7 linked regions of the Rattus norvegicus genome follow. The protein of the gene in region 3 purifies or fractionates together with the protein of the main gene of each other region. This does not show direct contact. Links are inferred from orthologs where the notes say so. Each region holds a gene or a part of one and is shown on either strand. Other genes may lie near its edges.

Region 1 (4,145 bases), on a different chromosome or scaffold from region 3:
TTACAGAAAAAAAAAAGAATATAAGAATATAAGAAGAAAATAATGAAAAAAAATCAGGAAGGACAGGTGCATAATTTTTCTATTAAATGTGGATTTAGTCCAATCTTATGGCTTTTCATATTTAGACAAATCCACCCCAAAGATAAATGTTCAAATAACTAGTATGTTAGTTATTCATTAATGGGTTATAATTTGTTAGAATATAAGGATGATGCTTCATTTGTAACTGGTACTAAATCTTACATCAAGTTAAACAAAAAGAACTAGCACTAACAAGAATAATTAATACCAAGGAATACCCTGAATTCCTTAAATATAATTTTGTTAACATATGACTGGCAATTTCCAAACCAATTTTCTGGTTTAACTGATACGGACTCTGCAATTCTTGTCATCTGTGGAAAGAAGGAACAGACAAGAGGCAATATCATTTGGTGGGGGAGGGAGGGGGGAAACAGGCAGTTAGAAGTTCCTGACTTCCCAGTTAAATCATATAGATTTAACTAACACTATTAATATTAATTCCAAGTCACAAAAATAGCTATTTTACATTAGTTTTAAAATTCACATAATTATTATTATTATTTAAAAAAAAATCCTACAGTGTCAAACAAGATACTGGGTGGCTTAGAACTCCAAAGACTTACTAGTTAACATAGACTAACCTTTCCTGGTCATATCATCAAGTTCACAATACAACTCTGAGTTGTATTCTACATAAAGGAATTTGATGAGCAGTTTTTAATTCTTTTACAATACAGATTTATTGTATTATTTCTTCCAATTACACCTACTTCCATTCTTAACATTGGGTATAACAATACCATTTGTCATGTGTTCCAATCTTTGAAAACAAATCTTTTCTTCTTAATGGAAACGTGTAAGGCTGGCTTTCAAGATTTAGAAAATCCATTCCTTTTGTTTGTTTTGTGCCTGTCAGTATGCACATGTGTATGCATGTGTATGCATATGTGTGTGTGTAAAGGCCAAAAGGGGGAAATATTTGTGTGGAGGTCAGAGAACGTCAAGTATTAGTGTTTGCTTTCTACCGAGACAGGGTCTGGTTATTTTTCAGTTTACATATGAGGTTAGCTTCTGAGGATTCTTCTGTCTCTACTTTCTATCTTGCTTTAGAAAGTAGTATTACAAATGGAACTATCATATCCTGTTTTACATGTGTTCAAGAAATCCAAGCGTAAGCCCTCATGTTTGCACAACAAAATGTTTATCCAGTGAGTCATCTCCCCAACCCTAGAAAATTTATTCTTGTTCAAAAGAAAATTATCATTAGACAACCAAGATACCAATATTTTTGGTAAGTAGCAACAAAGTTGGAGTAATATAAATCAGAAATGTTAACATGATTCTATCTTTTTTATTCAAAGTTAAAGAATTCACTGAAATATAACACTCTGCAGCTTTTAGTTTAAGTCCAATTTTAAATAATAGTCAAACTTACCCGGACAAGTGCATCATCTATAATATGGTCACGTCTGACTTTAAGTCTCAAATATGGATTCAACTGCTGTCCTTGAACTAGGCTGTAAAGAACAGTGATTCTTCTTTCACTGTACATGCGAATTCTATTGTCATAATACAATCCCAGATTCTTTGTGACAGCATTCAATATAAAGGGACATGTCATAAAAGAGAATTTGTTCTCTGTTTCAACTTTGAAAAAAGTATAATCTTTGTCCATTTCTAGAACATCATTCAGTGGTTCATTAATGAATTCTTCAAAGGAGATAAGTGGTTTTCGACAATCTAGAGTTTTAACGCCAATTTCGGTTTCTAGTGGATCCACTCGAGGACCTTTCTTATTTCTTCTTTCCTCTCCCAGAAGCTCCTGAAGTGTCAATTCACTGGACTCAGGTATAGGCTCTTCATCATCTTCCTCATTATGATTTGTGTCCACGTCCCCTCCCACTACATTTGCATAGTAAACCATTTTCAAACACTTTGAAGCAGCAACAATGGCATCATCATCATTCACTAGATTTCGGCTATTAAATTCATTGCTTATGACTTTGTAGGTAATAAGTTGCTGAAATGTTTCCATCATTCTCCGAATCTGGTCAGCACTGTATTTAGACCACAGCCTAATCAGTTTTCCTTGAGCTGCAAGGGGTAGCTTACTCATAGCTTTGCAAAATAACGGCAATGCCATTTCCAGATATTCAGGACTGTGGAGATTCCTATTTTCCATTACAATAATGAACAAATTGAGATAATTAGGGTCTCGAGTGTACACATTATGATATGTCAAATCACATTCCACGTTAGGTGACAGATATACAAGTGCATTCAGGAAGGCAGTTTCTATTTTTTCATCAGAGAGCAAACTGCTGTAGACCCTTCTTATAGCATCAATATCCACAGTCACATCATCAGGACCTAATTTTTGTACATTGTTGTCTCCCTGTGAGCTATCACCCATCCTTGAAGAAGATGCTTCTGAGTCTTCTTCCATAGCAGCAGCAGAACACGCAGCTTTTTCCTTTTCATCTTCATCCTTGTCTTCATCCTTCTCTTGAAGAGATTTCAATTCCTCCTTAGTGTGCTGTTTGACTTTCCGAAAGCTCTGAACCAGTGCCTCAGCACTAGAAAATATTCTTCCAATTACACGAATTAAAGGGGAGTAATCCTCTCTCTCCCTACAAAATTCATAAATTTCATATACTTTCTCTTCAGTTAGGTAGTCCACCTCTAGAAAATGGAAAGAAAAAGAACATTTATTATTATAATATACATGTTTATTTTGTTATAATTTTTACTGAACAAATAAAATATCTAAACATTCTGAATTTGATTTAGAATTTTTAAAAAAATGTAATTTACTTATTAACACCCTAAAATCACCAGCTCCTTTTTTATTTAAGTAATCCCAACAACCTCACCCTTTCTTTGGCACTCATTCAACATATAATTATTAATTATGCATTGGTAATTTAAGACTTGCCTTGTAACCGAGACATGTACTGGTATGTAACATTTATTGTAGATATGAACAAATATATATATTTATCATTTCATCACTGTACTTTATTACAACCTTACCGAAAAGCTACTATGCTAATAACCTAAAATCATTTTCCTTTACATTGTTCTCAAAAAACTAAGGAGGCAAGGTTTTACAAGGTTTCCTCAACCCCTTCATTTGCAATCAACTCTTTCTATACTTTTGTATATCGTAAAATCAAACTGACTCATGTTATGTATTCTTCATTTCTTCCAGAGTTTTCATTCTGAAGCTGAGAAAAAGATATTACTACTCAAGTAAACTCTACTGAAGTTAAAACTGCTACTACAGCTACTACTACCTATGACCATTATTTGGGTTCTAATAACTCTTAACAGAGCAACTAGAAATTATTACAGTCATTCAAAAACAAATAAAAGGAAGAAGCTAAGAGAGTAAAGACCACAAGCACCAAAATTCATATCTATTTTTCTCCCAGGAACAGATTTGGACCATAAATCTCCTAGCTTAGGGAAATTACTTTCAACAAAGGCTTTACCATTTCGTTAACAAAACAAAAGATATTTTATCTAATTGGGAAAAGATGACATTTTATATACTAAAGTCTTACAAATTAATATATTTATCAAATAATAATGCTGAAGCCAAACTTAATCTCTTTCATCAAAGAGTAGCACACTAGAATTATTAAATTAAACATTGAAGGTAGTTTAATTTTTTTATTTACATTGACAATATATCCCATACATTGATAATATGTCTAACACATAAATATCTTTACTATGATTGGTACATTTATTAAAGGTACCTATTCAACAGTAAGAGACAATATAAAATTCAAGTCCTCATTAATAGAATGGCTTCCAAAACATAAACCACAAAGCACTGAACTGTATATACTACAAAACTGATCTATGGACTGTTCTAGAGTATTGACACTTACTTATTTTATGATCTTCAATTCTTTGTTTCAAAAAATGCTCTATTTACTTATTAGGGGTGATGAAGCTATGGAGTTGAATGGATAACTGAATGAGTTCATTTTCTCCTTCTATACTGTGAGTCCCAGGCATGAAACTCAGTTACATGTACCTAGCTGAGGCAGCATGGCAATCCAAGTTCAATTCTTTAGTCTACTAAGAAATGTAAGAAAACACTAACATGG
Region 2 (4,807 bases), on a different chromosome or scaffold from region 3:
ACTCAGGGCATGGATGCAGCCATCCTCCCCTTAGGAGTTGGGGGTGGCTTTTGGGAGGGTGAGGGACTTCCTGTAACCATCTATGCCGTGGATACTTGGAGTGACTATTAAAAAAACCAAAAACAAAAAACAATGTACAATCAAAGTCCTCAGCCACATTGTAGAACTTTGGGGGATGTTTGCTCCAACCAACTGCGGTCGCCTTCACCGTTCCAGTTTTTAAATCCTGAGTCAAAAGCGCCAAAACAAAACAAAAAAAAAAAAAAACCTTTTTAAAAAAAAAATTTAAAAAAACAAAAACAAAAAACAAAAAAACAATAAAGCCATGCCAAATGTCTCATTTTTTTTTTCTGCGCAAGTTAGGTTTTGTCAAAGAAAGGGTGTAAAACGCAGCTCAGTAACAGTCCGCCTAGAAGCATTTGCGGTGCACGATGGAGGGGCCGGACTCATCGTACTCCTGCTTGCTGATCCACATCTGCTGGAAGGTGGACAGTGAGGCCAGGATAGAGCCACCAATCCACACAGAGTACTTGCGCTCAGGAGGAGCAATGATCTGAAGAAAGCAAGACAGTGATTGTGAGCATTCTGGATGCTGGGTTGTTCCTTAAGCCAAGAGAGTTGGCTACAACTACAGGGCTGACCACACCCCACTATGGGTCCAGGCTAAGGCTGCTTACCTTGATCTTCATGGTGCTAGGAGCCAGGGCAGTAATCTCCTTCTGCATCCTGTCAGCAATGCCTGGGTACATGGTGGTGCCACCAGACAGCACTGTGTTGGCATAGAGGTCTTTACGGATGTCAACGTCACACTTCATGATGGAATTGAATGTAGTTTCATGGATGCCACAGGATTCCATACCTGAAAGGAAAAGCAAGAGAGATCAGACTTACAGTGTGGCCTCCAGCATTGGTCACCTTTAGATGGAGAAGGGATGAGACTACAACTTACCCAGGAAGGAAGGCTGGAAGAGAGCCTCGGGGCATCGGAACCGCTCATTGCCGATAGTGATGACCTGACCGTCAGGCAGCTCATAGCTCTTCTCCAGGGAGGAAGAGGATGCGGCAGTGGCCATCTCTTGCTCGAAGTCTAGGGCAACATAGCACAGCTTCTCTTTAATGTCACGCACGATTTCCCTCTCAGCTGTGGTGGTGAAGCTGTAGCCACGCTCGGTCAGGATCTTCATGAGGTAGTCTGTCAGGTCCCGGCCAGCCAGGTCCAGACGCAGGATGGCATGAGGGAGCGCGTAACCCTCATAGATGGGCACAGTGTGGGTGACCCCGTCTCCGGAGTCCATCACAATGCCAGTGGTACGACCAGAGGCATACAGGGACAACACAGCCTGGATGGCTACGTACATGGCTGGGGTGTTGAAGGTCTCAAACATGATCTGTAGAGAAAGGAATACAGTATTGTCAAGCTCCTAAAGCCACAAGAAACACTCAGGGCAGGTGAGACTGTAAGGATAGATTTGAGTGAGACATGCAAAGAGGGCAAGAACACAGCTAAGTTAAGTGTGCTGGGAGTATCAGGACAGGGGCTCCATTTAGACCTACTGTGCATCTACTGAATACACACTCCAAGGCCATTTATCACCAGCCTCATTAGCTTTGTCACACGAGCCATTGTTAGTACCTACACCCACAGCACTGTAGGGGTTTAAAACACCTAGTCAGAAAGGCGATCGAGAGAAAAAAAAGACCTCATCTGGGAAAGAGCAGAAACTGCAAAGTTCCAAGGGAGACTCAGCTCATAGAAGAGAGTCCTATGGGAGAATGGCAGAAGAAAGACAATTGAGAAAGGGCGTGGCTGAGAAGTTGGCCCAATAGAGGGGAGGGGTCACCCAGGATACTGACCTGGGTCATCTTTTCACGGTTGGCCTTAGGGTTCAGAGGGGCCTCGGTGAGCAGCACAGGGTGCTCCTCAGGGGCCACACGCAGCTCATTGTAGAAAGTGTGGTGCCAAATCTTCTCCATATCGTCCCAGTTGGTGACAATGCCGTGTTCAATGGGGTACTTCAGGGTCAGGATGCCTCTCTTGCTCTGGGCCTCGTCGCCCACGTAGGAGTCCTTCTGACCCATACCCACCATCACACCCTGCGGAGGAGAACAACGTTCTCAGCACTGGCATCGACCCCCAAGAAAACCCTAGGGCTGCCACTCCCAAAGTAAAGGGTCACTTACCTGGTGCCTAGGGCGGCCCACGATGGAGGGGAAGACGGCCCGGGGAGCATCGTCGCCCGCGAAGCCGGCCTTGCACATGCCGGAGCCGTTGTCGACGACGAGCGCAGCGATATCGTCATCCATGGCGAACTATCAAGGCACAAAAGAGGGCTATGGTCACCGCGGAGCCGCCAAGAGCAGCCGCTGCCGCCCTGCCCACTTCCGGCAAGCCGCGGCCTCGAGCCGCCAGGGGGCGCGCGCCCAAGCTCAGGGGACAAAGGAAGCGCAGGACAGCCGCATTATTACCATAAAAGGCAAACGCTGGCCCGGAGGCGGACCCACGGCAGGAAGCCAGGCCTCCGCCCCCTCCCCAAACGGGCACAGGCCCCGCCTACACTGAGGCGACGGGCGGCTAGTGCGCGCGCGGGAGGCGACCACACCCAGCAGGAAGCGCGAGCAGGCGCCCTAGCCGCTACGACCCCGCCCCTTCCGGGCAACGGCCCCGCCCTCGCCCAACCCGGGGCGGCCGCGCTCCTAGTCTCAATACGCACGCGCAACTCTTAACTCGGAAGAGGGGGAGAGGAAGAGTTCCCTCCCCAGCGCGCACGCGCCCCAATGCCCAGTGATAGAGCGCGCACGCGCAATGGCATCCCAGCCCCCACCCGGCCGAGCCGGCCCCGCCGCGCCCGCCAAGCCGAATGGGCAAAACCGGTTTGGACAAAGACCCATAGGCCATCAAAGCGTGATTGTAACGCCTGACTCCCAATACTGTGTCCCCTCAAGGTGGACAGATGCGGCTTAACACCCGCAAGCCGCACCGGCTCTCCAAATGCCCACACCGCGACTCTAGTGTGTCCCCAAGCCCCGCGCACCAAGCAGGAGCGTGCCCACGAGTGTCTACACCGCGGGAATACGACTGCAAACACTCTACACCCTAGGCGGAAAGTTAAGCTTTGCCAGTGTCCGCTCCGCGGCCCGGTACCACGCTCCACCCCTCTACGGTGTCCCTTCTGAGTGTTCCTCACGATCCTGCAGCGAGGTAGTGGCCAAGGTAAAGTTGGGGCCCGCTGGGCCCGACGTCCCTGCTTACCTGGTGGCGGGTGTGGACCGGCGACGGAGGAGCTGCAAGAAGGTTGTACTCGCGGGTGGACGCGGACTCGACAGTGGCTGCGCGTTGCGCCGCCGGGTTTTATAGGACGCCACAGCGGCCACTCGAGCCATAAAAGGCAACTTTCGGAACGGCGGGCGCTGATTGGCTCCGCGTCGCTCACTCACCGGCCTCGCCGCACAGTGCAGCATTTTTTTACCCCCTCTCCCCTCCTTTTGCAAAAAAAAAAAAAAAAAAAAAAAAAGAAGAAAAAAAAGCGAGCGAGAGAGAAAGCGAGATTGAGGAAGAGGATGAAGAGTTTGGCGATGGGTGCTGGTTCCGTAGGCCCAGATGGACAAGAATAGCCCCCGCCCTTGTGGACACTATCCCATTCAGTGACTCGGTTACTAGGCCTGTATTCTGGGGGTCACCCACCCACCCCAGGACCCTCTGGGTGTGGATGTCACGGGAATAATGATCACCTAAGTGGGCGAGGGTCAGCTTGAAGGCCCGGACCCTATTTGAGTGGCCTTTTGTTTGAGGGACACACGGGGTCTGGATTGAATGGGCAGAGAGTCACTCCCCCTTGCTAGCAATAGTCAGGAAAGCCAGATCTGGGGGCCTTCTGCTGCAGTTCTAATTTGCTAGGTGTGTTGGGGTACAACTTGGAAGCAGAGCTGTGGTTGGGAAGGTCTTCAGGGATCTTGACCACTCAAGGCCAGAGTCCCAAGGATAGGGCAAGCCCCGGTGGTCCAGTGACTGGAGGTGTTTGTTGCAGGAAGATGCCTCCAGATATCCTCTGCCCCGGACCTAGAAAGGAACTGTGCTCAATCGAACAAGCAAAACTTCTCATGGAGTCCGGCACTTTTGGAGGGCTGCCTGATCACACCCAGGCAAGACTAAGCCTGGGCCGTTAGCTAGTGGCTCTGGGTGACTGCCAGGCATCGTTGGGCTGGAGCCCACCATCTAGCCTCTATGTATTATGTGCAGCCACAGCTGAACTGTACACTGAACTGTTCATCTGCTGGCCACGGGGACTCTGGGAGTGACAAACTACTCAGGGAAGTGCTGGTGGTCACCAGAGCCCCAAATCCTCCAGAGAGAAGAACCCCCTGCTCTCCTCACCTAAGTAGGAGAGTTCTGCTCAGGAAGCTAGCCATTTGGCTGATAGCTACAGCAGGGGATCAGAGTTGAGGGTCGGGTCCCTCAGCTTAGCTTAGAAGGACGCACAACTCCTGGGAGAGAGTGACAGAAAGCTATATTTAGGCAAGGAGAATGCTTCAGGTGGGATGCTCTGGACCTGCCATGGCTTTACACATGCATAGTAGGTGTGCACTGGCTCACAAAGTGTAGGTGTTGAAACCAAGGAAGGCTTCATCCATATATGGGCTACAGTGGCTGTGCATGAGGAGGCCAGACCAGCTTCCTTGTTCTAGGCTTGTGGCAGGGCATTTTGAAGTTGCAGAGGCCTCCAGTCTGGAAAGGGTGACCACCACTCCAGCATACTGGAAACACACCCCCAGGTTCAGAGCGACTTTATCTTTCCCACACACACACACA
Region 3 (4,145 bases):
GATGGAATGGGTCCAAAACTAGGTTAGATCCCTGGTCTCCCTTTACGGTACAGCAGGCTTGTCCCAGGTTGTCCTGAAACGGGGTGCCAGTGTGGGTGTTTGCTTCACTTCCCTGTGCTGCCCAGGTGACTGATATGAAGAAGAAGATGGAGGACGGTGTAGGGTGCCTGGAGACAGCAGAGGAGGCAAAGCGGAGGCTTCAGAAGGACCTGGAAGGCCTGAGCCAGCGGCTTGAGGAGAAGGTGGCTGCCTATGATAAGCTGGAGAAGACCAAGACCCGGCTTCAGCAGGAGCTGGATGACCTGCTGGTGGACCTGGACCACCAGCGGCAGAGCGTCTCCAACCTGGAAAAGAAGCAGAAGAAGTTTGACCAGGTATGGCCTCCCTGCCACCTTCTTATGTCCTCTCCCCTCGGCAGAGCGGTGGGGTGGGCACAGCCAGGCCCCCCCAGTCTGCAGCTTCATGAGGGGCGTGGGGAGGAAGTAACCAGAAGGGGATTTAGGAGCAGGTTTTAGACGTTGGCCAGCCCTCCTTCCCCCATGGAGATGCAGACACTGGGGTCAGATGGAATAATAGTAAAAAAACAACTGGGTCAACACGTGGTAGACAAATCCAGTCCCTCCGCTGTGACTTAAAACTTCTGTTTGTCTTACACTTAGTCATTTAGTGTGTGTGCATGTATGCATGTGCTGAGGTCAGAGGGCAACTTGCACAAGTCCATCTTCTGTCATTTACCTGTGGAGCCATCTCCTGTCCCCATGTTTTTCCAGATAAAGTTTCATTGTATGTAGCTACACTTGTTTACATGCTGCCACTGGCTCCTAGTGTGATAAGTGGCAGAGCTGAATGGCTGCTTTGAGAGACTACAGCCTTCAACCTCTAAGTAATGTTCTTTATGAGAGGCCCAATCTGTGGAGCAGGTGAAGGTGGGCAGAGAACCTAGGAAGGCAGGGAGGTGAGGAATAGTGAGGGTGGGCCCCATAGAACAGGTACAGTGGTGCAGCCATCTTTGGAGAAGGACCACACGTGGGATTTAAGCTTTTGAGCACGGCTTTTCAGGAATGTGGGCATCCTCACTGGGTAACATAAATGAAGGACTGAGCAGAGAGATTGCAGAGATGTTCAGCTGCTAAGAGATGAGTTTCATTCCTATCACCCAGCAGTTCACAGCCACCTGTAACTGTGGCTCTATGAGGTCCAACATACTCTCCTGGCTTCTAGTGACACCAGCACATGCACATGTATGTGTACATGCACGTTTGTGTGTGCATGTGTGTGCACACACAGATGAAAGTCGTTAAAAATTTAAACAAAGATCAAAGTACAGTGTTACAGGAGTCCTTGCCGTCCCGGGAGCCAGCGAGCCCCTGGGTAGCAGCCTTGGGCCTGTTGGTCTGGGTCTGGCCGTAGGGTAGTGGTCTTCAGTCTCAGCCTCACAGCAAGACTTCTTTCCCTAGCTCCTAGCTGAGGAGAAGACCATCTCAGCCAAGTATGCTGAGGAGCGAGACCGAGCTGAGGCTGAGGCCCGTGAGAAGGAGACAAAGGCACTGTCACTGGCCCGGGCACTTGAGGAGGCCATGGAGCAGAAGGCAGAGCTAGAACGGCTCAACAAGCAGTTCCGCACGGAGATGGAGGACCTCATGAGCTCCAAGGATGACGTGGGCAAGAGCGTGAGTGCTGGGCTGGCGTCCTGGGTTCGGGGGAGCCTGGTGTGTGTGGTTGGAGCTCAGGGCCCCTAGCTGTTCGTGTCTGTAACTAACATGGGGCTCTGCTAGGTCCATGAGCTGGAGAAGTCCAAGAGGGCATTGGAGCAGCAGGTCGAGGAGATGAAGACCCAGCTGGAGGAGCTGGAGGATGAGCTTCAGGCCACTGAGGATGCCAAGCTCCGTCTGGAGGTGAACCTGCAGGCCATGAAGGCCCAGTTTGAGCGGGATCTGCAGGGCCGGGATGAACAGAGCGAGGAGAAGAAGAAGCAGCTGGTCAGACAGGTGCGTATGGCCTCCTCGCTATGGGGAGGGACACCAGGGACTGCATCTCTGTCCCCCTGTGCAACACCTGGGCCTCGGAGGGGCTCCTGGACCATTTTCCACTGCCTTGTTTCTCAGACTCTGTCTTAGGGCTCTGCAATTTTACTTTGTACTTTGTCTCGGGTGGCCCCATGGACAGCCCAGAACTGGTCTGAGCTCACCTGAACTCAGTGCTCAGCAGTGAGCGCTAAGCATGAGCCCTGCTGTTCCTCAGGTGCGGGAGATGGAGGCGGAGCTGGAGGATGAGAGGAAGCAGCGGTCCATTGCCATGGCTGCTCGCAAGAAACTAGAGATGGATCTGAAGGACCTGGAGGCTCACATAGACACAGCCAACAAGAACCGGGAGGAGGCCATCAAACAGCTACGGAAGCTTCAGGTGAGGCAGACCCAGGCTGGTCACAGATGGGGACAGGTAGAGGCTGGGAGTCGGGGCCTGTCTCACAGGTGAGGCTCGGGCTCAGAAGGGACACAGTAACAAGAGGGGGCTGAGTCCATTAAGTCAAGAGGAAAGGTAGCTGGACGTGCAGTAGAGTCAAGGATGGCGGCCACACACACTCAGGCTTCAGGAAGAGACCGGAGTGTTCAGTGATGGATGGTCTAAGCTGGTGGCTCTGAGAAGTGGCTCAGAGCTTGAGACATACACTTGGGAGCAGTTTTCACTCACCAGTGTGGTCAAAGACTAACATTAGTACAAACAGCTCTTGTGTGCCCATTCATGCCGAGTGTAGCAGCAGGAAGAAAGATTAACCATCACGTGGGCAAGGCTGTGAGCAAGAAGGTCAGCTTGCTGATGGCGTTTTTAAGAGTCACACATAACAGGAGTCACACTCTGCCCTCAGGGTGTATGCCATCGTGAGGCCTGTCTGCTTCAGATCAGGGGACAGGGGACCGAGCTCTCCGCTTCGTTGTTGCCTTACCTGGCAGGAAGCATACTTCGTGTCTTGTCCCTGCTTTTCCCTGGTCACTGACTGGACGTCATGGACGACACATTGGATGATGCCGCTGGCATTAGCTGCAAGCCAACAGGAAGTTAGAGCAGGCAGACGGGCCCAGGTTACACTGTGTGCAGGGGTCTGTGCCCTGAAGAGCCACCTTCTAAGTCTAGTCAGGAAGACAGACGTGCAGAGCCACTTGCCTTTGGTTACTTTTTTGCCTGTTTATAAAAAGGTTGGCTAAAACCATGCCAGGCGTAGAGCAGGTCACTGTTGGGGACATGGCCCCTTAAGGGGTCAAGACCCCGAGCAGGCGGAAGTAGTTGGCGATGCTGACGCCTCCTTCACACAGGCCCAGATGAAGGACTGCATGCGGGAGCTGGACGACACGCGAGCCTCCCGGGAGGAGATCCTGGCCCAGGCCAAGGAGAATGAGAAGAAGCTCAAGAGCATGGAGGCCGAGATGATTCAGCTGCAGGAGGTGGGCCAGCGGGGGATGCAGGGCCACTGCCTCTGGCCAGCAAGCGGCAGCCTGGGGCCTTTCCCTGTCCTTAGGAGTCAGCAGGGAGGGAAGGGCAGAAAGAAACTGAGCTGCACACCTTGGCATGGTGCATGGTGTGGTATGTTCATGTATGTGCACATCTGTAATGGGGAAGAGGGTGAGACGCAGCCTTCCATGTGGCTACAGACCCCGCCTCTCTTAAATGAATCTGTGACCCTCGAGTCCCCAGTTAATTTCACGAGCCAATGCTGAGTTGATTATGATTCTCTATCAACTGCGAAGGGCAAGGAGGGGCCTGAGTGCCCCCTGGGTGCTGTTTTAGTTACACAGGAACCGCGTGGTGGGGAGGGTGGGGTGGTGTTTCCAGGTCTGGAGGAAAGGGCCATCCTCAGTTCATGAGTGCTCAGTCAGACCCTCTGCCCTGGCATGGCTCTTTGCCCCTGCTGGGTCTGGGGTGACCCCTCCATTATCCCACCATGCATGGTGCTCTGGAGGCTTCCACAGCCCATCTGCTGCCCTTGGTGGGCACAGGACCCTGGACTCTAGCCTCCCTCATAAACCTCAGTATCTGGTCTGACCATGTGCAGAGGGACCAGCACTGCAGGTCTGTCTACACAGCCCTCCCTTTTGGGCTGGGCGTTTCCTGTTTATAGCCCTGGCTCCTGGCTTCACTCCAAGTTCTTA
Region 4 (4,145 bases), on a different chromosome or scaffold from region 3:
AAATTGTTACAGTTTTAAAGCATGGAGTTGTTTTAAAGCTTTCATTACTCAGCAGTGGGTAAAGGTGCTTGCTGTGGGAGACTGATAACTGGAGTTTTATTCCTGGACCTACGTGAGGTCGAAGAGAACCAGCCTCATGAAGTTGTCCTCTAATCCTCCACGTGCATATCCCATGTGTGTGCACACACATGCCCATGAGATAAAGGAATTGAATAAATATTCTGATAAAATATGGTAAAGCTTTCAAAGTTAAGGATTTTAACTGTGATAGCCATACACCTTTGGTGTGGTGTGGGGAGGGGAGCACAGGTGAATTCAAGCCAGAGTCAGACTCCTGCTTTCACCTTTACCTTGGGCTGACCTCTTCTTGGGCCCTGTATAAGCTTTTAGTTGGGTTTTGTCTTGGTCTCTCTTCCCACCAGTGGTGGGATGGCAGCCAAGTGCGCCTCGTCCCAACTTCATGCATGGTGCTGGGGAGTCAGGGTGAGGTTTCCGTGTTTGTACAGCAAACTCTTTTACAGCGAGGCGGCTCCCAGCCATAGCATCACTTTCGCTCTCAGTGTTTTCGTGTGCCACACACCACAAATACGTAAGTAAACTCAGTCTCCACAGTTCCCGTGTAGCATTCTATTACTGTTTATTGCATTCCTCATAGACATTTAAACTGCCCGTTTTAAGCAAACAGATTATATTATTTAGGTGTTGGAATCTCATATTAATCCCTCCCCCCCCTTTTTTTTTTCATGTAACTGTAGTTAGGAATTTATCTAGTATTTTTCTAATTGCAGTTGTGGTAGATGATGGGAAACTTTTTTTTTCTTTTTAGGTGAGAGATAGGGAAGGGGTGGATAGTGTATTGCCCTGTAGTTCAGACCACCCTGAAACTTTTGATACTTGTAGCAATCCTCCTGCTTCAGCTTCCTGAGTGCTGAGATTATAAGTGTGAGTTACCAAATCTAGTTAGGAACACATTTTTAATATGTGTGCTGTCAACTAGGTGCTGATTTTTTTTTTCTATTTCTCAGTGACAGCAATATAATTACCTACTTTACCCCACCCCTGACATAGAGCTGATGTGGTGACTGTCATAATGCTGCCACTTTCCACTGAAAGTCATTTAAAGCAGGGGTTAGGAGGGAGCATAGCTGAACTCTCCCCGGGATCCCGAGTAAATCATCGTATGGCCAAACTCTAATGGAGAGGAAGATTACTCATGTGTAAAACTGTGTGGGGTGTACTTCCTGAATGGGTCCAGATTTTTCCCAGCACAGGATTTAGTCCCTCTTTTTGTCCTTCACGGGTTTTCTAGCAGGTTCTAGCATCAGGTTGTGGAGCAGGCAACAATATAGAGATGCCATTCTTTTTTTAATTGAAAAAAATTAGTTAAAGGACAATGTATAAGTGCATAGGGAGTTGGATTTAATTTAATTCCAAAATGCTGACATTAAAGATGTTATGCCTACATTTTTGTCATGGTTCATTTTGAAGAAGGCTTTAACTTGGGTAGTGAGATTTAAATCAAAATTGAACCTGTCTAGCCTTAGCAGTTTTCTCATACCTCTGAAGGAAGTATTTCCTGTTAACATTAGTAATGCCAGTCCCTAGCAGTACAGTCGGAAAAGATGGTGTCTTTATCAGTACTTCTCCTGTTTTTTTAATCAGACAGTAGTAGTTTTGATTTCCATGGTATTAAGTAGGGAGTAGAGCTCAGAGAGTGAGCGTGTGCAACAGATTGGAGGTGATGATGCTGGAGAAGGCAGCACATGTCTATAATCTCAGCACTTTATAGACTAGAGGATGACAGGACCAGGGCCAGACTGTATTCCATGGGAGTCTGTCTTAGGAGAGAGGAAAAATGAAGGAAGAAGGAAGGAAGGAAGGAAAAGAAGCTTGGCCTCCAGATAAGTAGAAGATTAAAGGCGTTACATTGGTACATTTTTCAAAGCTTTAAAACAATCTCTTAAGATATTATTTCTCTGCTTGCTCTGATGAAATTCCAGACAAAGGCGACTCAAGGACAGAAAGGTTTATTTTGGCTTAATAGTTCTAGGGGATACTGTGCATCGTGGTAGGGAAGGCATGGTGGGCGAGCATGGGGCAGCTAGCCACATTCAGAGAGGATACACGGTGCGTGAGCTCCTTTTCTTCTCTTACTCAGTTCAGGTAGCTAGCCCATCGAATAGTGCAGATGCCCTTACAGACATGTCCAAAATTGTTTTCATCGATTCCAAGTACTCTCAAGCTGGCAGTTAAGATTTACCTCTGCAATGATGTCAAGTCAGCTAGACATCTGTTTGTGTGTGGTTTTTTTTTTTTTTTTTTTTTTTTTTTTTTTTTTTTTTTTTTTTTTTTTTTCTGTGTAACCCTGGCTCTCCTGGAACTCACTCTATAGACTAAGTAGGCCTTAAAACTCAGATCTGTCTGGGCATCTGCCTTTAAATTACATTGGAAGTCTACATTATTCTAAGGATGTTAAAGGCTAATTTACCATCCGAGTTACTGGTGTCTCAGTAGGAATTGATAAGATTACTTACTCATGAGCTTTCCTATGTCTCTCTTAATGATTTGAGGCTAACTTTTCAGAAAAACATTTCAGAAAAATGGTTCTAAAAGATGACACTGACTACATTTTTACAGCCTGAGATTCTAGGAAGAATGATGGATCTGCCTCCTAATCTAAAGGCTGCTGCTGTCTATCACCCATATGGCTTCTGATCTCTGTCTCTGTTAAGTTAAAACCCAGCTGGCCTGAGTGCAGGGCTGTGGGCATGCTAGGCAAGTGCTCTAGATCCCTGACTCTCTGAATCTTAGTGTGAGACCTGGTCCGACTTGCCCAGGTAGTTCTTAAACTTAGAATTCCCTGCCTCAGGTGTGTGCCCCCACACCTGGATGCTTTTCTAAATTACTGAAGGATAGCACAGGTATATATTTAATGATAGTTTAATTTCCTGATTTATGTAGAAATGCCATGAAACTTTGATTAGGGAAAACTGTATTGATAATCAACATTTTGCATGTTCTGCTGAGAACGTTATATACTGCATAATGACTCAGATGTGTTTGAAAGCAGGGGTATCGAGTGAATGTCTCTTCTTTTTCCAGTTGTATATGTACCAGCTGTTCAGAAGTCTAGCCTATATCCATTCCTTTGGGATCTGCCATCGAGACATTAAACCACAGAACCTCTTGCTGGATCCTGATACAGCTGTATTAAAACTCTGCGACTTTGGAAGGTGAGCTAGCCTCCTCTTCCCTTCCTTTCTTCCTCCTCCCTCCCTCACACTTTCTTAAATAGACTCCTGTAACAGTACTAGTCTGAACCGCACTCATTACTCGGTACTCGGGGAATACAAACTAATGAAGGTCCATGTCAGAATGGTTTTGATAATTTTATGGGAACAATAAATGTGTGTGCCCTTTATCCTACAGTTAACTTCTGAGGATTATTTCTTTATGCATATTTAGGGATCTTTAATACAGTGTTGCTTGCAAATATCTAGTAGCGAGAAAATGTCCAAATAAATTAATATATACAGATACAGTGTTACACATGCTGCTGAGGGAAAAGTGAGGGAGCTGTCTAATGTGGGAGTGATGTCTAGGAAGTACCAAGTGAGGAAGTCAGTCGGCAAAGGCACTTGCTTTCAAGGCTGGTAACTTGAGTTTGATCCCAGGGACTTAAGTTGTCCCGCCTGCCACAGGAGTGCTGGAATGCTAACATTCAGGCTCAAAAAGGCCGTGGCGGCACTTGCTGATAATTCCAGTCACTCAGTAGATGTGGGAGGTCATTAGTTTGAGGCTGGCCTAAGCCAGGTAGTGAGACCCTGTGCGAAAGGAAAGCCTCTGTCAAGTCAGTACTGTATGCATGGTAGCTTTTGTTTTAAAAACCCTTTTGTGACTAGTGTGCAAACACACATAACAAACATGGCTTATTCTGAGTTGATATGTAATACCTCATACACGATTGTCTGGGACGGGATGTTTGAGGATTATCGTGTACTTGGGAAACTTACATTCCCAATGACTGCTCTTTAGTATAAACTCCTTGAGCTTATGGAATACATATATCTGCTCCATCTTTATTACTAATAAATCTCTTAAGTTATACATTTGCATATATTCCTTTAACTTCACACTCAACCTCA
Region 5 (4,145 bases), on a different chromosome or scaffold from region 3:
GCTCCTGGGGTGCCTTTGTTTACAGAGTAGAGCTGTTAAATGAGACTCCTTAAGGGAGTACGCCCATAAAACCATGTGCTCCATGGAAAAACTTAGAGAAAGTCACTGGGTCAGTAGAGCTATTTGAAAGCTGCTCCCTGCTAGACTCTAGACGTGCGAACATGTCTAGTGCACCTGCCCCTGTGCTGTTCCCAAGCGCTGAACTTGTGGGGAAGTGTGATTGGCAGAGCGAGGCTCTAATAGCTGAGGCATGTCCACATCAGTGTACTGAACTCTTCTTTCCATCTGTCTTTGTAGCTTTCCAAGCTGCTGGTAAGTTCTTTACACTTTTAAGAGTTCTGGGTGTTTGAGCTCTGGGACTTATGTTCTACTCTGTAGAGGACTGTTACTGTGGTTACATCTAGTCTGCTGGTGTCTATTCATCCATCATCAGTCTAATCTCCAGTCACTCCATCCAAGTGTCCCTGTGAGATGTGGCTTTCTCTGTTGTAATTAGCGTGCAGTCCCTGTCCCCGCCCTGTTTCATCATCCATGCAGGTTTTGTACTGCCGTGTTTGATTTGGGAGGCAGTGGTTGACCACTTCCTTTCAAGGGGTGCTTTTGAAAGTGGAATGTTTTCCTGGGTTCAAGTTGTCAAGGCCTGGGCAGGGCAGGTTAGCCTGGGGTAAACCGATGCTTACTCAGACTGGTGTCCAGAGATGCTGGCCTGGAGAACTGGAGTAGCAAGATGTGCTCCAAACCTAAGCAGGCCTTGTTAGGAAGGACATTAAAAGAGACACCTGTTCCACATGGCTTACCATGCCAGAACTGGGAGGAGGAAATAAGGCTGTAGAAGAGAGAGATTGAGTTCGGACCAACAGTGGTGAGAGTAAGCACTGGAGACGGCACTGCCAGGATCTGTGGATGAGATCTCTGAGTCCTAGTGCTGAGCCGCAGCCAGGACCCCCTCCCTGTAGCAGTCACTGCCTCTCAAGTGAAACATTGAGTGCAGAATTCTTGGCCAACTAAACTGTCTTGTTTTCTCTTAGTTTTCTTTCTCAGTAACATCCCTGAGACTGTTTCTCACTTGCCCTGTTTTTCACAGAATTTTGCTGTAGCTGCTGTATCCTCACAGTTACCTCTCTCAAGTGTTCTTAGGGACCCCCCCTCTCTCCACCTCCTCCCCTACCCCGATTTCTCTAAAAGGTAAAGCCCACCTGCCTTTTAGACTGGGTTTTAGCAGCCTCATGTTTTGACTGATGACAGCCACCAAATCTTCATTGACAGAGGAACTGTCTTCAGATGTGTTCCTGCTGTAGGTGGTGGGGTAGCCTATGTACATTACCAGTCAGGGGCTCTGTCCAGGAAGGATAAAGGCATGGGTTGACATTGGTACACAGTTAGATGCAATCAACTGAAATCAACCCCTCTATCTCATACAGAGTATAAAAAAGTACAAAATTTTGAGGCTTTGCTCCCAGCCTGCTAGTGAGCCGTTAGGACTGGCTTTTACCCCACTGCCCCTGACTAGTGCATTTCCCTTCCTGGCCTAAACCTACCTCTGCTGGGCTCCCATAGACCTCACTCCACAGCACCACACAAGCTGGGATGGCTTTCTGTCCACGCCAATGCTTGACTTATTCCTTACCTTCCCTCTACTCCTTTTCTCCTGAGCATCCCTTTGCCTTGAGGACTGCCTCTGAACTGTGGTTTGGTATTTTCAGAGCAAGCACCAGAAGCACCAAGCCTTTGAGGCAGAACTGCACGCCAATGCTGACCGAATCCGTGGAGTTATTGACATGGGCAACTCCCTCATTGAGCGTGGGGCCTGTGCTGGCAGTGAGGATGCTGTCAAGGTATGGTTTGGGGCCCATACTGACTCTAGAAAGAATGATAGCACTCTACCGTCCACTGGGCTACAGTCTCTGGAACTCAAGAACACGGTTCCTCTGATTGTTTCCACATCCTCTCTGATTGTCTCTGATTTGGGTCGTAGGGATGGGCCCTTCAGAGATTTTCCTATCCCAAGTGACCCCCCCCCATCTCTTCTTAAGGCCCGCCTGGCTGCCCTTGCAGACCAGTGGCAGTTCCTGGTGCAGAAGTCAGCTGAGAAGAGCCAGAAGCTGAAAGAGGCCAATAAGCAGCAGAACTTCAACACCGGGATCAAAGACTTTGACTTCTGGCTTTCTGAGGTAACGTGAGGTGGTTCTTGCTCCCTGTGATCAGGGGATTTCTAGGCATTTGGGTAGTGAATGATTCAGTCATCCAGACCAAATTATAAAAGGGGAACTGAACAGAAGTCCTCATCGTGTGATAGGTTCAGAGTGCTGCTAGGAATTGCTGAAACGGTGAGTAGAGACATTTAGAGTGGAAGCTGATTTCAGAAATTGCTAGATAGCAGACTTCTCCCCAAGGGAGTCTATAGAGGAAGAGGCTGGGCACGGGAGGTAGGCAGTTCCAGGAGCCTGCACCAATAGAACAAAGGACAGAGAGGAAGGGAGCCGGAGTCCAGGCTTGTATAGGAAATTGGCAAGCAGAAACTGGCAAGGGGGGATTTTAGAGACCACCACTGTGAACGTTTTAGAATCTCCCATCTGTATATATGCAAATTTTGTATGGTTGAGCTCGCACTGTCATTTTTCATTGGTATGTATGGAGGAGTGTTATCCCATGTCACTAAAATTCTCCCCCAAACATTTGAGAATGAGAGAGTCCAAAGAGTCTTACCATGATTTAAGCATTGCCGTCTGGCTGCCACTAAGGGGTTTCTAGAGTGCAGGCTGCAGCGGACCTCTTAGTACACTGCTCATCTGTGTCCTTGTACTCGGAGCTTCATTGCTGTAGCTTGCTGTGCTCTTGGCCCTGGCATTCAAGAGAAGGCTTGGGGGCTGTGCCTCCATCCCTACTCTGAACAGGCTCCTTAGTCATTTTGGACCTAACTTAGTGTGCAGAACTCCTTGGGGTACACCCTTAACCCCAGAAGAAGAAGAACCAACCAACCAATCAGGGTGGTGGTGGCCCAGACCTTTAACCCCAAAACTCAGGAGGCAAAGACAGGTGGAGCTCTGAGTTTGAGGCCAGTCTGGTTTACGGAGCGAGTTCTGAGACAGGCAGGACTACACGGAGAACCCTGTCTTGGAAACAAAAAGCAAAACAATAAAAAAAAAAAATTGAAGAACAAAACCAATGTTACGATTGAAAAGGCCTGGAGCAGCACCTGGCCACCCTGGGTTTCCCAGAACACTGCGTCCTGTAATAACATCTCCTGTTGTGCTGCCAACTGCAGGTGGAGGCTCTCCTGGCATCTGAAGACTACGGCAAAGACCTGGCTTCCGTGAACAACCTGCTCAAAAAGCATCAGCTGCTGGAGGCAGACATATCGGCCCACGAGGTCGGTGGGGTGACAGATGGAGGGGAGGGTGACTAGAAAGAACCCCAGAGTGTCCCAGGGTCTTCAAGAGAGATAGAGTTAAAGGAAGCAGAGTGATCCCCAGCACCCGAGGCCGCAGTTTGTGAGTGGGCTGGGTTCTTGGTTGTTCTCAGCCTGGGTTTCCACAGATCTTATCTGTAACTTCTAATCATTGTGAAAATTTAGGGGGAGGGCGGGCTGTGCCTAGAGACTTGGCTCAGTGGAACAGTAGAGTACGAAGTTAAAAGTGTACGCAGGGGCTGGGGATTTAGCTCAGTGGTAGAGCGCTTGCCTAGCAAACGCAAGGCCCTGGGTTTGGTCCCCAGCTCCGAAAAAAAGAAAAAGAAAAAAAAAGTGTACCCAGTCACACCCAGATCTTTATTTTGGAAGTAGGCTCTTAATGTATAGCTTTGTCTATTCTCAGACTTCTGTAATGTCCTGCCTCTGCCTCCCACATGCTGAGGTGACAGCACTTACATCACATCCATGGCTTTAAGTAATTCAAGCACTAGTTCTATAGTATAAGCACATTTGCATGAATGGTGATGGTTTTTCTAAGGGGACCGGGTGAGAACAGCATTGGTTACATGCATACAGATCTCTTAGTGGATATGTTACAGAGGAGGTCTGGACTTTACACACGTGAGTTTGGTTGTTGTGTGGTGTGATGGGCACAGCCAGGCTGAAGGGAGGGGGAATCAGATTCAGATCCTGGGAAACAGTTTCCCTCAGCTTCTATGCCAGCACCTGTAATGAT
Region 6 (3,981 bases), on a different chromosome or scaffold from region 3:
CCCAGAGCTGGTCCCAGCCTGCTCCTGCTCTGATTCTTGGGTACCATCATTATCGGTAGGTCCAGACATTTCCTCCTTTTCTTCTTCACTGCTGCTGTCATCTTCGACATCCTCATCCTCATTCTCATCACCTAGGATAGGGAGAATGTCAGAGATCAAAATGTGGGTACTCCAGGGAACTGGGCTTCAACACATATCTGGAGGAGCCTGTGTGTGTCATATATATCCCCCAAAAGGGATTCTCAGCCCTTCACCCCTGTTATGTAAGATACACTCATCTTTATTGGGCCTCTCTCACTTCTCAGCTTTTAGGGGACTCACCTTTCTCATCCCCATCATCGTCATCTGAGGTGGGTTTGGTCACATATCGTCTGTAATAGAGCAGAGAAAACTCCCAAGGCAGGGGCACAAGGGTAGAGGGGCATCCCAAAGTTTTACTTGGTAGTATGGTCAAGAAGTCAGGACACACACATGCAAGTCTCCCTCCCACCCCCAATCTGTCTGTTTTTTAAAATGCCATGTGAATGCTTCATACATTCCCAACACTTTTCTGATTTTATTTTAATTTTGAGATAGTGTTGGTAAGTTACTCAAGCTAGCCCTATGTGGCTTCTCCTGGCACAGCTGCCCAAGTAGCTGGAATGCACCACCAAACCTAGCAGTTCTTAATCATGAACCTGGGAAGTGGTAAAACAGCAGTGCATGAAAACACCAGTAGTGGCCTACATTCTTTTTTTTTTCTTTTTTTCAGAGCTGGGGACCGAACCCAGGGCCTTGCGGTTGCTAACCCAGGGCCTAGCGCTCTACCACTGAGCTAAATCCCCAACCCCGGGGCCTACATTCTAAAGCTGATATACAATCAGTTATGAATTAATGTCAAAGAAGCCTTTTGAATTAGAATAAAGCATTAATCCAGATAATATAGCTTTTCTTGCCTTCCATAGTAAGGACTGTAGACTTTAGGTAAAAGGATAAAACTACATCCAAATGTCTCTGTAGAGACAATTAAATACAAAATGAAGTTGTCTCTACTTTTTCTTGTCTACCTCTGTATTCCTAGGACCAAAGAGAAGCACTAGAGAAGCCAGAGGTCTAGAAAAAGAAAAATCCCTGCAAAGCCTACTGACATGTTCAATTTGAACTATCCTTTGGCTGTGCCAAACAGCAACTCAGAACTGAAGTCTGAGTACTGACCTTGGTCCCCTACCTCAAATCCACTTCTCCCTGCCCCTAGAAAAATGGTACTTACGAAAGCCGGTACATCAAGATGTTATATAGGCCCTCCCAGGAGAACCGGTCCCGGGGCACTGACACCAGGAGAGGGTGCCCAAAAAGTATCAGACCGTAGTAGGAGTTGTTGTAGTCTCTGGACGGGGTGCGCTCCCGCAGGTAAACAGGAACCACAATATCATCTCTTGAACCCTCAACAGGCTCAATCCGTCCAGTCACCTCATATCTGTGTGTGTTAGGGGGAGTAGTTAGATTTTTTCTTGACTGAGGCATCCCAAGAAAGATAAACCCTCAGTTGCTTCATCCATTCATCTCAGTCCAAAAAACTATGAGTTATTTTCATTTGAATTATTAGTGTCTGTGTGTGTTTGTAGGGAGTATACACATGTATGATACATACACATGTGGATATCAGAATACATTTTCAGGAGTCAGTTCCTTCCCTCATCATGGATTCAGGTTGTCAGGGTTTGTGCAGGTGCTTTTACCTACTGAGCCATTCTACCTGCCTCCCCCAAGTATTTTATCATTATTTTATGTGTATGAGTGTTTTGCCTGTATGTACATCTATGTATCACATGTGTGCTGGTGACTGCAAAGGCCAAAAGAGGGCATCCCTGGTGCTGGAGTTGCAGATGGTTGTGAGCCTCCATGTAGGTGCTGGGAATTGAACTTGGATCCTCTGAAAGAGGCTAGTCCTCTGTCTAGCCTTGTCCCAAAATATTTTAAAGGGTCTGAAAATCCATGAAGGACTTGGTATTTTATAAACTACCAGACAACTTCCACAGCACTTTTTTTATATGCCGTTTGAGGAAGAGCCTTGCTAACATGGAAATGCTTGGAGGAGAGTAATAAAAACAAGGATGGAAACATTTTCTGGTGGAAAACACTCATTTACAAAGAAAATTTCTACTCACACCATTTTAGTTGCTCCAAATTTAAAAACTGTTGTGGGAAGCAGGGCATAGTTCCGTGATAGGGCACTTGCCCAATATGCAGGGAGCTTGGGCTCTAAATAAATAATGAATACATTTTTATCGGAGCAGGTTGTTGGACATAATGGCATACACCTTTAATCCCAGCACCTGGGAGGAAGGGGCAAGATGAATCTCTAAGTTTGAGGACAGCCAGGGCTACACAGAGAGACCATCTCTCTCTCTCATGATACAGATCTATTATATAGATATAAATATTATATATACTTATATATATTCATGTTTATTTTCTACACTTATAAAAGTATTGTATATATTATATATACTTATGAGTATATATATGTATTGAACTGTAAGTGTAGCTCAAATGTTAAGAGTACTTGTCTAACATGCTTGTGCATTCTGGGTTCTATCCCCAGTAGGGCAAAACAAAAGGTGGGGGAACCATCCTCTATTTATTCGTATCGGTTTCCTCACTTACACAAAGATATCATCACGATCCAAGATGCCACTCAGAGGATCCTCCAGCTGGTAGAGCTTATAGAATCGGTGACTGAAGACATCAGCTACTATCATCTGGTAATAGGAAAAGGACATAGGGACAGTCAGTGTGCAAGGTTCTTTTTCCTTTAAACCCTACCTGCCCAGCCTCCCTCTTCAAAGTCTTACCTTATCTGGTGCAACACTTGTATGTGTGGACAGAGCCACACACAGATCTGAGATATTGCCCTTCTTAGGGACTACAACCCGGTGCTGAGGAGAAATAACATCCACAGAAGATCAAAGGAACTTATAGTAGGTTAATATAGAAAAGCTTGAGGAAGGCAATCAAATTCTGATTTAATGTCCCTCATTGTGTTCCCATAACCCCACCTGTTCTGGCTTGCGGCGGGGATCCATGGGGACAAAGAAGACCTCCAAGACCCTCCTGGAGCAGACAGGCAGTGGGACACTGAGGTAGCAGAAGGGGTCAAAGGTCACAGAAACATTGCCACAATCAGGGCACACCAGTGTAGACTTGAAGAGGCCATGGAAAGTGTCCACAATCACAGAATCATTTCGTCGTTTGTGGTTCTGCCAGGCTTCCTGAGCCACTTCCTGTTGAACAAATGTCATGGTAGGTTAGGGGAAGAGGGGAAAGTTTGGGGATGGACTCATAGGGGTTTGAGGTAAAGGACTCTGTTGAAGCCTAGTGGCAGGGTCACAGCTAGATCTATCTGGAACCCATGTTCCCTTTCAGAGCTGGCATTTTGCATGAAGGACAGGAGCCTGACTGGAGTTAACTCTAAGATAGGTATGGGGACAGATTTAGTGCTATGACTAAGGTTGAGGTGAAGGTCAAAGTAAGGGAATTGAGAAAATGGTAAGGTATTAGATAGACTGGGGAAACCAGAGACTTCCTAAGGCAGTGGCCATGTAGCTTTAATGGGTAGCCTACCAGATCAGGCCGCCCAGCACCATTGCATAGCTCAACATATTCTTTCTTTTTGACTCGATTGAGGTCCTCATGTAGTCCATCCAGGAGGAATGACAGTAGTTCCTGTGAGTCATGCTGCTGGTAGCCCAGAAACTGGGATGCGAAATGGCCAACCTTGTTCTGAAGAGACAGTAGATAGGAGAGTGAGCATGAGATAAGAGAAGCAAGAGAAAGGATGGTGGGAGGGAGCCCATGGGGTTGAGACACACCTTGAAAACATTCGGCACAATGGAGCGGTGGTAGCCAGACCAAGTCTGCTTTACCAGATCTGCATAGGCCTCAGCAAGCTCACCCTTCATGCCCAGAGGGTTCCGGAAGTTGAGCTCCTCCAGGTAGCGG
Region 7 (4,666 bases), on a different chromosome or scaffold from region 3:
ACCTCTACCTCCTCAATATAGCCAAGCCTCCTGTACTCCCCGAGGCGCCTGAGCATTTGGGCTCCTACTGTAAGCAGATGTGCCCTGACAGACTGCTCTCTTGCAGAGAGGCAGCTACCGTCCCAGGCCAGTCTAGTGACTGGCACAACTGGTTCACCTTACAGTCTTCAGGATCCATTCCACACAAACTTGCTGAGAACAAGGAAAAGTGACCTGTGTTCTGTCCACCGGGGGGCGCTGGACATGACTACAGCACTGCCGTCTCAATTGAAACTGGGAAATGAGTCTTAATTAAAAGAGACAACTAAGTTCCAAAACAGTGGCTAAGTCCTAGCAGGACTGCCTACTTCCTTTAAAAAGTCTTTCTCCTCATGGAAGGTTAGATGCTTTTTTCCAGAGTTCCACCCCCGCAGATAAATCTGGGTTCCCAGCCAAGGGAAGCCCGGTCTTGCAATGAATACATACATAGGCAGCTTTCTTAGGTAACAAGAAATGAAGACCTTTTTCCGGAGCGTAAAGAAGTTCTGATCCACTTCCAATTGACATAAATCACTTTCCATTTTGTAAAACCTGTTAGCTGATCTAGGAATCACACCGTGAATGGTGTTACTGAACAGAAGCATCTCATGGCTGACCATGTCTCAGGACAGAGGCTGCCTCCACAGGCCTCAGAACTGAGGCAGCTGCTCAGCTATTTTCTCTCTATGCATAAAGATGTCTTCAGTGAGATTGTTTTAAATAGCAAACAAGTTGACAGGAGCCACAAAACAAACAAAAAGTGGAGTTAAAACGTATGTACGTTTGTAACGAGTTTGTGAATACTTGTTTACCAGGAGTTTATCCCGCAGGTATGTTTCTGACCAAGCCAGTGACCAAGGACACTAAAAATTTACCACTAGGTGATGGGCAGAGACCTTGACCTCACCTCAGCACTAGCATTTCATCTGACTCCATCTACTTTCACTGTCCACTTCCTGCTTAAAAGTATGGCAGCAGACTATGGTAGGCCCACCACTGCACCCCCACCTGCAGTGTGCACAGGCCTCTTGGCCATGCTCTGCTCTGCATTTATTTGCAAAAGGGCTCCACCAGTTTTTCTGAGCACACATTTCAAAATACTAAGAAAGTTGTCTTCTCATCCCCACCCCACCCCGCCAATGGCATTCTGAAACTAGTGCTAAAGCTTCATTCCCAATCTAGTCCCATCGTCACTACAGCAGGAGACACTTCCCCTCGAGTTGTAGACATCTGATACCCAATATTCAGTCTCTAAACTAATGTTCTCAATCTGGGGGTCCAACAACCCTTTCACAGGGGTCACCTAAGACCACAGAAAACATAGACATTTGCATTATGGTTCTTAACAGTAGCAAGTTATGGAGCAGCAAGCACGTAATTTTGGGGTTGGGGTTACTGTAACAATTGAGAAGCTGTTAATGGGTCGCAGCATCAGGAAGGCTGAGAACCGCTGCTCTAGACTATCTACTAGAAATGACCAGATGACAGGTGAACTCTATTTCTTGGACTTGAGGTTGGTCTTCTTGCAGACCGTGAGGCCCAGGACTCTGTCCCAGGCAAGCTAAGCTTCCCAGATAGCCTGCTTCCTCAAGGACTTCAGCCTGGGAGGGTTAGTTGTAGAGAAAGATCTACAAGTTTCCAACTTCCCTGCCACCGCTAAAGGCCTTGTCCAGACTCGGCCTTCAGGACAAAGGTTAGGTCACAGAATGACTATCCCCAGCACTGTCATCAATGTTTTCTGCTGAGAAAGGACGTCCTCAAACAAACCTTGAGGTACTTCTTTTTAATTGGGGGATTTCTGAATGTTTAAGGTGAAAATGAACTAAATGTAACAGAAGACCTTAACTCAAGTAAAGTTTGAGCCCGACATACAAAATCGAAATGCAAAGGCTACAAGTTTAAGCAGCATTAAATCAGAACCAAGAGGGCAAGCTCTTTCCCGGGACGAGGAGTCTGCACCGAGACGTCTGCAAGCCTCAAGTAAATAGAGAAATGGCTTCCTAAATCCCAGACAAAATGCTTCACAACTTGGCCATGTGAAAAACATGAGGCAGACTTTATCAAAGGCAACGCTGCCGTCTCTTCAGCTTGCTGTCTGGTCTAAGCCACCATTATTCATGGCACAAAGCTCTCGTTTCACTAAAACCACTCCTCGATTTCCTCTCGCCGACCTCCGCATACCAGCAGCCCAGTCGCTCTCCATTCAGAGCTCAGGCCCGGGGGCGGGGGGGGTGCGGGGGGCGCGGGGGAGGGGAGCCCACAGATGTCTGGAGACCCGAGCCCGAGACAAAGCTGCCCCGCAGCCAGCGGGCTCACGGGAGCGGGCCTGGGGCACCGAACTTGGAGCGTCGGTTCCAAGTCCGGTCCCCCAAACAACACTCAGAACAAGTCTCCAGGCTCCCACGCCCTGGCGGTCAGCGCTCTGGCCACTCCATCTCGCCCAGAAAGCAAACGCGCCGGGGAGAAACACTTGAGGCGGACCCCACACTTACTGGCTAAGGGCAAGTCCCCCTCCCCCAAACTCAGGCTTCGGGTCCCGCGCACACCCTCCCCCCAGGAGTGGCCGGTGACTCGTCCACGGTCCCGAATTCCCGCCAGCACCTCTCGGCCCCACAGCCACCGACCCCACGCGAGTCCAGGACGCCACCACCCTCCGAGAACACGCTCCCGACGCATCCCGCACGCCGCATCCAAGTTTGGCGACTCCACGGTTTAAAGTTGTTTGGATTCAAACTCACAGTCAGATCGTTGCAGGGGGGGAAAAAAAGACCTATCTGTGCGTGCTCCACGAGGGACAGAGGGGACGCGTGCCAGGTCCCGCGTCCCCCGGCTCTGCGGGCCACGGAGGAGGGGCCCCCGCCCACCCCGCCCCCGCCGCGGCCCCAGCCGGGACACGAACCGCGGTCCCCACCCCCCACGGCGGCCACCCGTCCATCCGGGCTCCCGGCGCGCGCCCGCCCGGCCCCGGCCCCAGCCCGCGCGTCCCCGCGGCCTCCCGCCGCCACCCGGCCCGCGAAGTTTCCCGCTGGCGCGGCGCGAGTCGGCCCGCCGCCGCGCCGTACCTTGGGGCCGCGCGCTACTCCCTCGCGGCCGCCCGCTCGGCCTCGGCCTCCTGCACTGACGGCTCGGCTCCCACCGTGCTCCGTCTCCGCCTCCCCGGGCCGCGGGCTGCACAGAACACTAGCTGACGCGGCCGCCACCGAGCGAGGGCTTAAGATGGCGCCGCACAAGGAGCGATTTATAAGCGGCGCGGCACCGTGTATCCTGCCGCCGCCGCTCCGCGCGGAGCGTTCCGCCGCGCGAGGACGAGGGGCGGGGCGCGGGCGGGCCGCGGAAAGTAGTCCCCGCCGGCCCGAGTCGCTCTGCGCGTGCGCCGCCGGGAGGGGCCGGGCCGGGGCGTGGCGTCCCGACCCCGCTCCAGTGGAAACTAATGGGATCGAGTGCGGTCCGTCGCTGCGGGCCGGGTGGAGCGCGGCCACTGTTGGCGCAGGTTCGAGACTGTAGTCACCGGGGCTTCGGCCGCCACACCCCTAAACCACCACTGGACCCCACTACACTTCACTGTTCGCGGGAGTGTCCCGCTCCTCTTCCTGCCGTGCCTCTAGAATCCGGACAGGGATCTCGGAGCCCAGCCACCTTTCCTCCCCACCCCAGGAGGCCATGGAGTCCCCAGGAGTGACTGCTGACATCTAACTAGAATAAATGATTCAGCTCCACGGCCCTGTTCATCAGTGTGATTCCTAGAAATCCCATCTTACCCGGACCCACTGGGTCAGTGTCTACAGAACCAGAAGTGGGGACGTTTTCCAGGGACTGCAATTTTTACTGTATTGTTTGAGAAACTCGAGTGTGTTGCTGAGAGGACCTGTGGATAACCTCTTAAAATTTTCAAAACTAATTTAGTATCCTTCGAGAGCATTATTTTTTTTCTGAATCATTACAATAGGCTGAAGTTGGGTCTTCTCTTGGAAATGGCCTCATTGTTGTCCTCCACGATTTGGCACTTGTCAAAACTGGTGCAGTTGGGGTGAATTGGCTGTCTCCAGTCTATTATTGTGAGCTCGTGTCTCTTCCCAAACAATGGTAACAGCGAAAGTTGCCCTATTGCCTTCTTTCATCCTGCGCTGTAATTAACGCAAGTAAACAATAGGCCCTTATGTACAGGTACTGGCAGGAAGCCTGCGCAACCACTGAGGCAGGGCCAGGGCTGTACGGCCAGCTTCTTTTTTAAATGACTCAATTTCCTATCTTAAAGACATATCGCCGTAACTCTGTGAACCACCACAGTCCACCATGAAGGAGCTGCTCAGTGAGGGCCTTTGTCTAGACCTTTCCCCTCTGCAGCTCTGCTGGGATTTCCACAGAATCAACTCTGCTGCTGGCTGGGGCTCACTTGGCTGACTCGGGGAGATGGGTCAGGAAAAGGTATTTTACCAGTGGTGGTTGCAGCCACCAATCCCTAATTTTAATTGTCACATGCAGAGTTAAAGAATATTTGCTCGACTCGATTAAGGTCCTGCTTTTAAAATTAGATAGCTGACTTCACCTCTGTCAGGGGTGTCCTTTCTTTCCTTCCTTCTTTCCTTCTTTCTTTCTTTCTCTTTCTTTTCTTATCTTTTTTTTTTTGACACTTGCTTCTTTTTTCTGT

Evidence for each region.
Region 1: the proteins of Myh9 (region 3) and Ube3a purify together in Homo sapiens (affinity purification with western blotting; 3 studies listed by BioGRID, with this or other methods). This does not show direct contact. The link is inferred for Rattus norvegicus from reciprocal best matches to the Homo sapiens genes MYH9 and UBE3A.
Region 2: the proteins of Myh9 (region 3) and Actb purify together in Homo sapiens (affinity purification with western blotting; 4 studies listed by BioGRID and IntAct, with this or other methods). This does not show direct contact. The link is inferred for Rattus norvegicus from reciprocal best matches to the Homo sapiens genes MYH9 and ACTB.
Region 4: the proteins of Myh9 (region 3) and Gsk3b purify together in Homo sapiens (affinity purification with western blotting; 4 studies listed by BioGRID, with this or other methods). This does not show direct contact. The link is inferred for Rattus norvegicus from reciprocal best matches to the Homo sapiens genes MYH9 and GSK3B.
Region 5: the proteins of Myh9 (region 3) and Sptan1 fractionate together in Homo sapiens (co-fractionation; 3 studies listed by BioGRID and IntAct, with this or other methods). This does not show direct contact. The link is inferred for Rattus norvegicus from reciprocal best matches to the Homo sapiens genes MYH9 and SPTAN1.
Region 6: the proteins of Myh9 (region 3) and Usp11 purify together in Homo sapiens (affinity purification with mass spectrometry; 3 studies listed by BioGRID, with this or other methods). This does not show direct contact. The link is inferred for Rattus norvegicus from reciprocal best matches to the Homo sapiens genes MYH9 and USP11.
Region 7: the proteins of Myh9 (region 3) and Ctnnb1 purify together in Homo sapiens (affinity purification with mass spectrometry; 3 studies listed by BioGRID, with this or other methods). This does not show direct contact. The link is inferred for Rattus norvegicus from reciprocal best matches to the Homo sapiens genes MYH9 and CTNNB1.

Annotation. Positions count from the first base shown.
Region 1 is NC_086019.1:119,261,269-119,265,413, reverse strand, and holds part of Ube3a (ubiquitin-protein ligase E3A), read right to left. Parts: intron 3,428-4,145; exon of another isoform or gene 3,236-3,427; intron 2,707-3,235; coding exon 1,460-2,706; intron 1-1,459. UniProt on the Homo sapiens protein: E3 ubiquitin-protein ligase which accepts ubiquitin from an E2 ubiquitin-conjugating enzyme in the form of a thioester and transfers it to its substrates.
Region 2 is NC_086030.1:16,775,179-16,779,985, reverse strand, and holds Actb (actin, cytoplasmic 1), read right to left. Parts: upstream 3,323-4,807; 5' UTR 3,251-3,322; intron 2,311-3,250; 5' UTR 2,305-2,310; coding exon 2,182-2,304; intron 2,095-2,181; coding exon 1,855-2,094; intron 1,389-1,854; coding exon 950-1,388; intron 860-949; coding exon 678-859; intron 554-677; coding exon 410-553; 3' UTR 352-409; downstream 1-351. UniProt on the Homo sapiens protein: Actin is a highly conserved protein that polymerizes to produce filaments that form cross-linked networks in the cytoplasm of cells.
Region 3 is NC_086025.1:111,228,340-111,232,484, reverse strand, and holds part of Myh9 (myosin-9), read left to right. Parts: intron 1-125; coding exon 126-374; intron 375-1,457; coding exon 1,458-1,670; intron 1,671-1,775; coding exon 1,776-1,988; intron 1,989-2,241; coding exon 2,242-2,403; intron 2,404-3,311; coding exon 3,312-3,440; intron 3,441-4,145. UniProt on the Homo sapiens protein: Cellular myosin that appears to play a role in cytokinesis, cell shape, and specialized functions such as secretion and capping. Required for cortical actin clearance prior to oocyte exocytosis. Promotes cell motility in conjunction with S100A4.
Region 4 is NC_086029.1:76,059,093-76,063,237, reverse strand, and holds part of Gsk3b (glycogen synthase kinase-3 beta), read left to right. Parts: intron 1-3,102; coding exon 3,103-3,233; intron 3,234-4,145. UniProt on the Homo sapiens protein: Constitutively active protein kinase that acts as a negative regulator in the hormonal control of glucose homeostasis, Wnt signaling and regulation of transcription factors and microtubules, by phosphorylating and inactivating glycogen synthase (GYS1 or GYS2), EIF2B, CTNNB1/beta-catenin, APC, AXIN1, DPYSL2/CRMP2, JUN, NFATC1/NFATC, MAPT/TAU and MACF1.
Region 5 is NC_086021.1:33,687,154-33,691,298, forward strand, and holds part of Sptan1 (spectrin alpha chain, non-erythrocytic 1), read left to right. Parts: intron 1-297; coding exon of another isoform or gene 298-312; intron 313-1,703; coding exon 1,704-1,835; intron 1,836-2,033; coding exon 2,034-2,171; intron 2,172-3,265; coding exon 3,266-3,370; intron 3,371-4,145. UniProt on the Homo sapiens protein: Fodrin, which seems to be involved in secretion, interacts with calmodulin in a calcium-dependent manner and is thus candidate for the calcium-dependent movement of the cytoskeleton at the membrane.
Region 6 is NC_086039.1:4,029,288-4,033,268, forward strand, and holds part of Usp11 (ubiquitin carboxyl-terminal hydrolase 11), read right to left. Parts: coding exon 3,852-3,981; intron 3,763-3,851; coding exon 3,604-3,762; intron 3,264-3,603; coding exon 3,039-3,263; intron 2,919-3,038; coding exon 2,835-2,918; intron 2,742-2,834; coding exon 2,647-2,741; intron 1,457-2,646; coding exon 1,250-1,456; intron 372-1,249; coding exon 322-371; intron 132-321; coding exon 1-131.
Region 7 is NC_086026.1:129,516,132-129,520,797, reverse strand, and holds the start of Ctnnb1 (catenin beta-1), read right to left. Parts: upstream 3,223-4,666; 5' UTR 3,081-3,222; intron 2,886-3,080; exon of another isoform or gene 2,757-2,885; intron 1-2,756. UniProt on the Homo sapiens protein: Key downstream component of the canonical Wnt signaling pathway.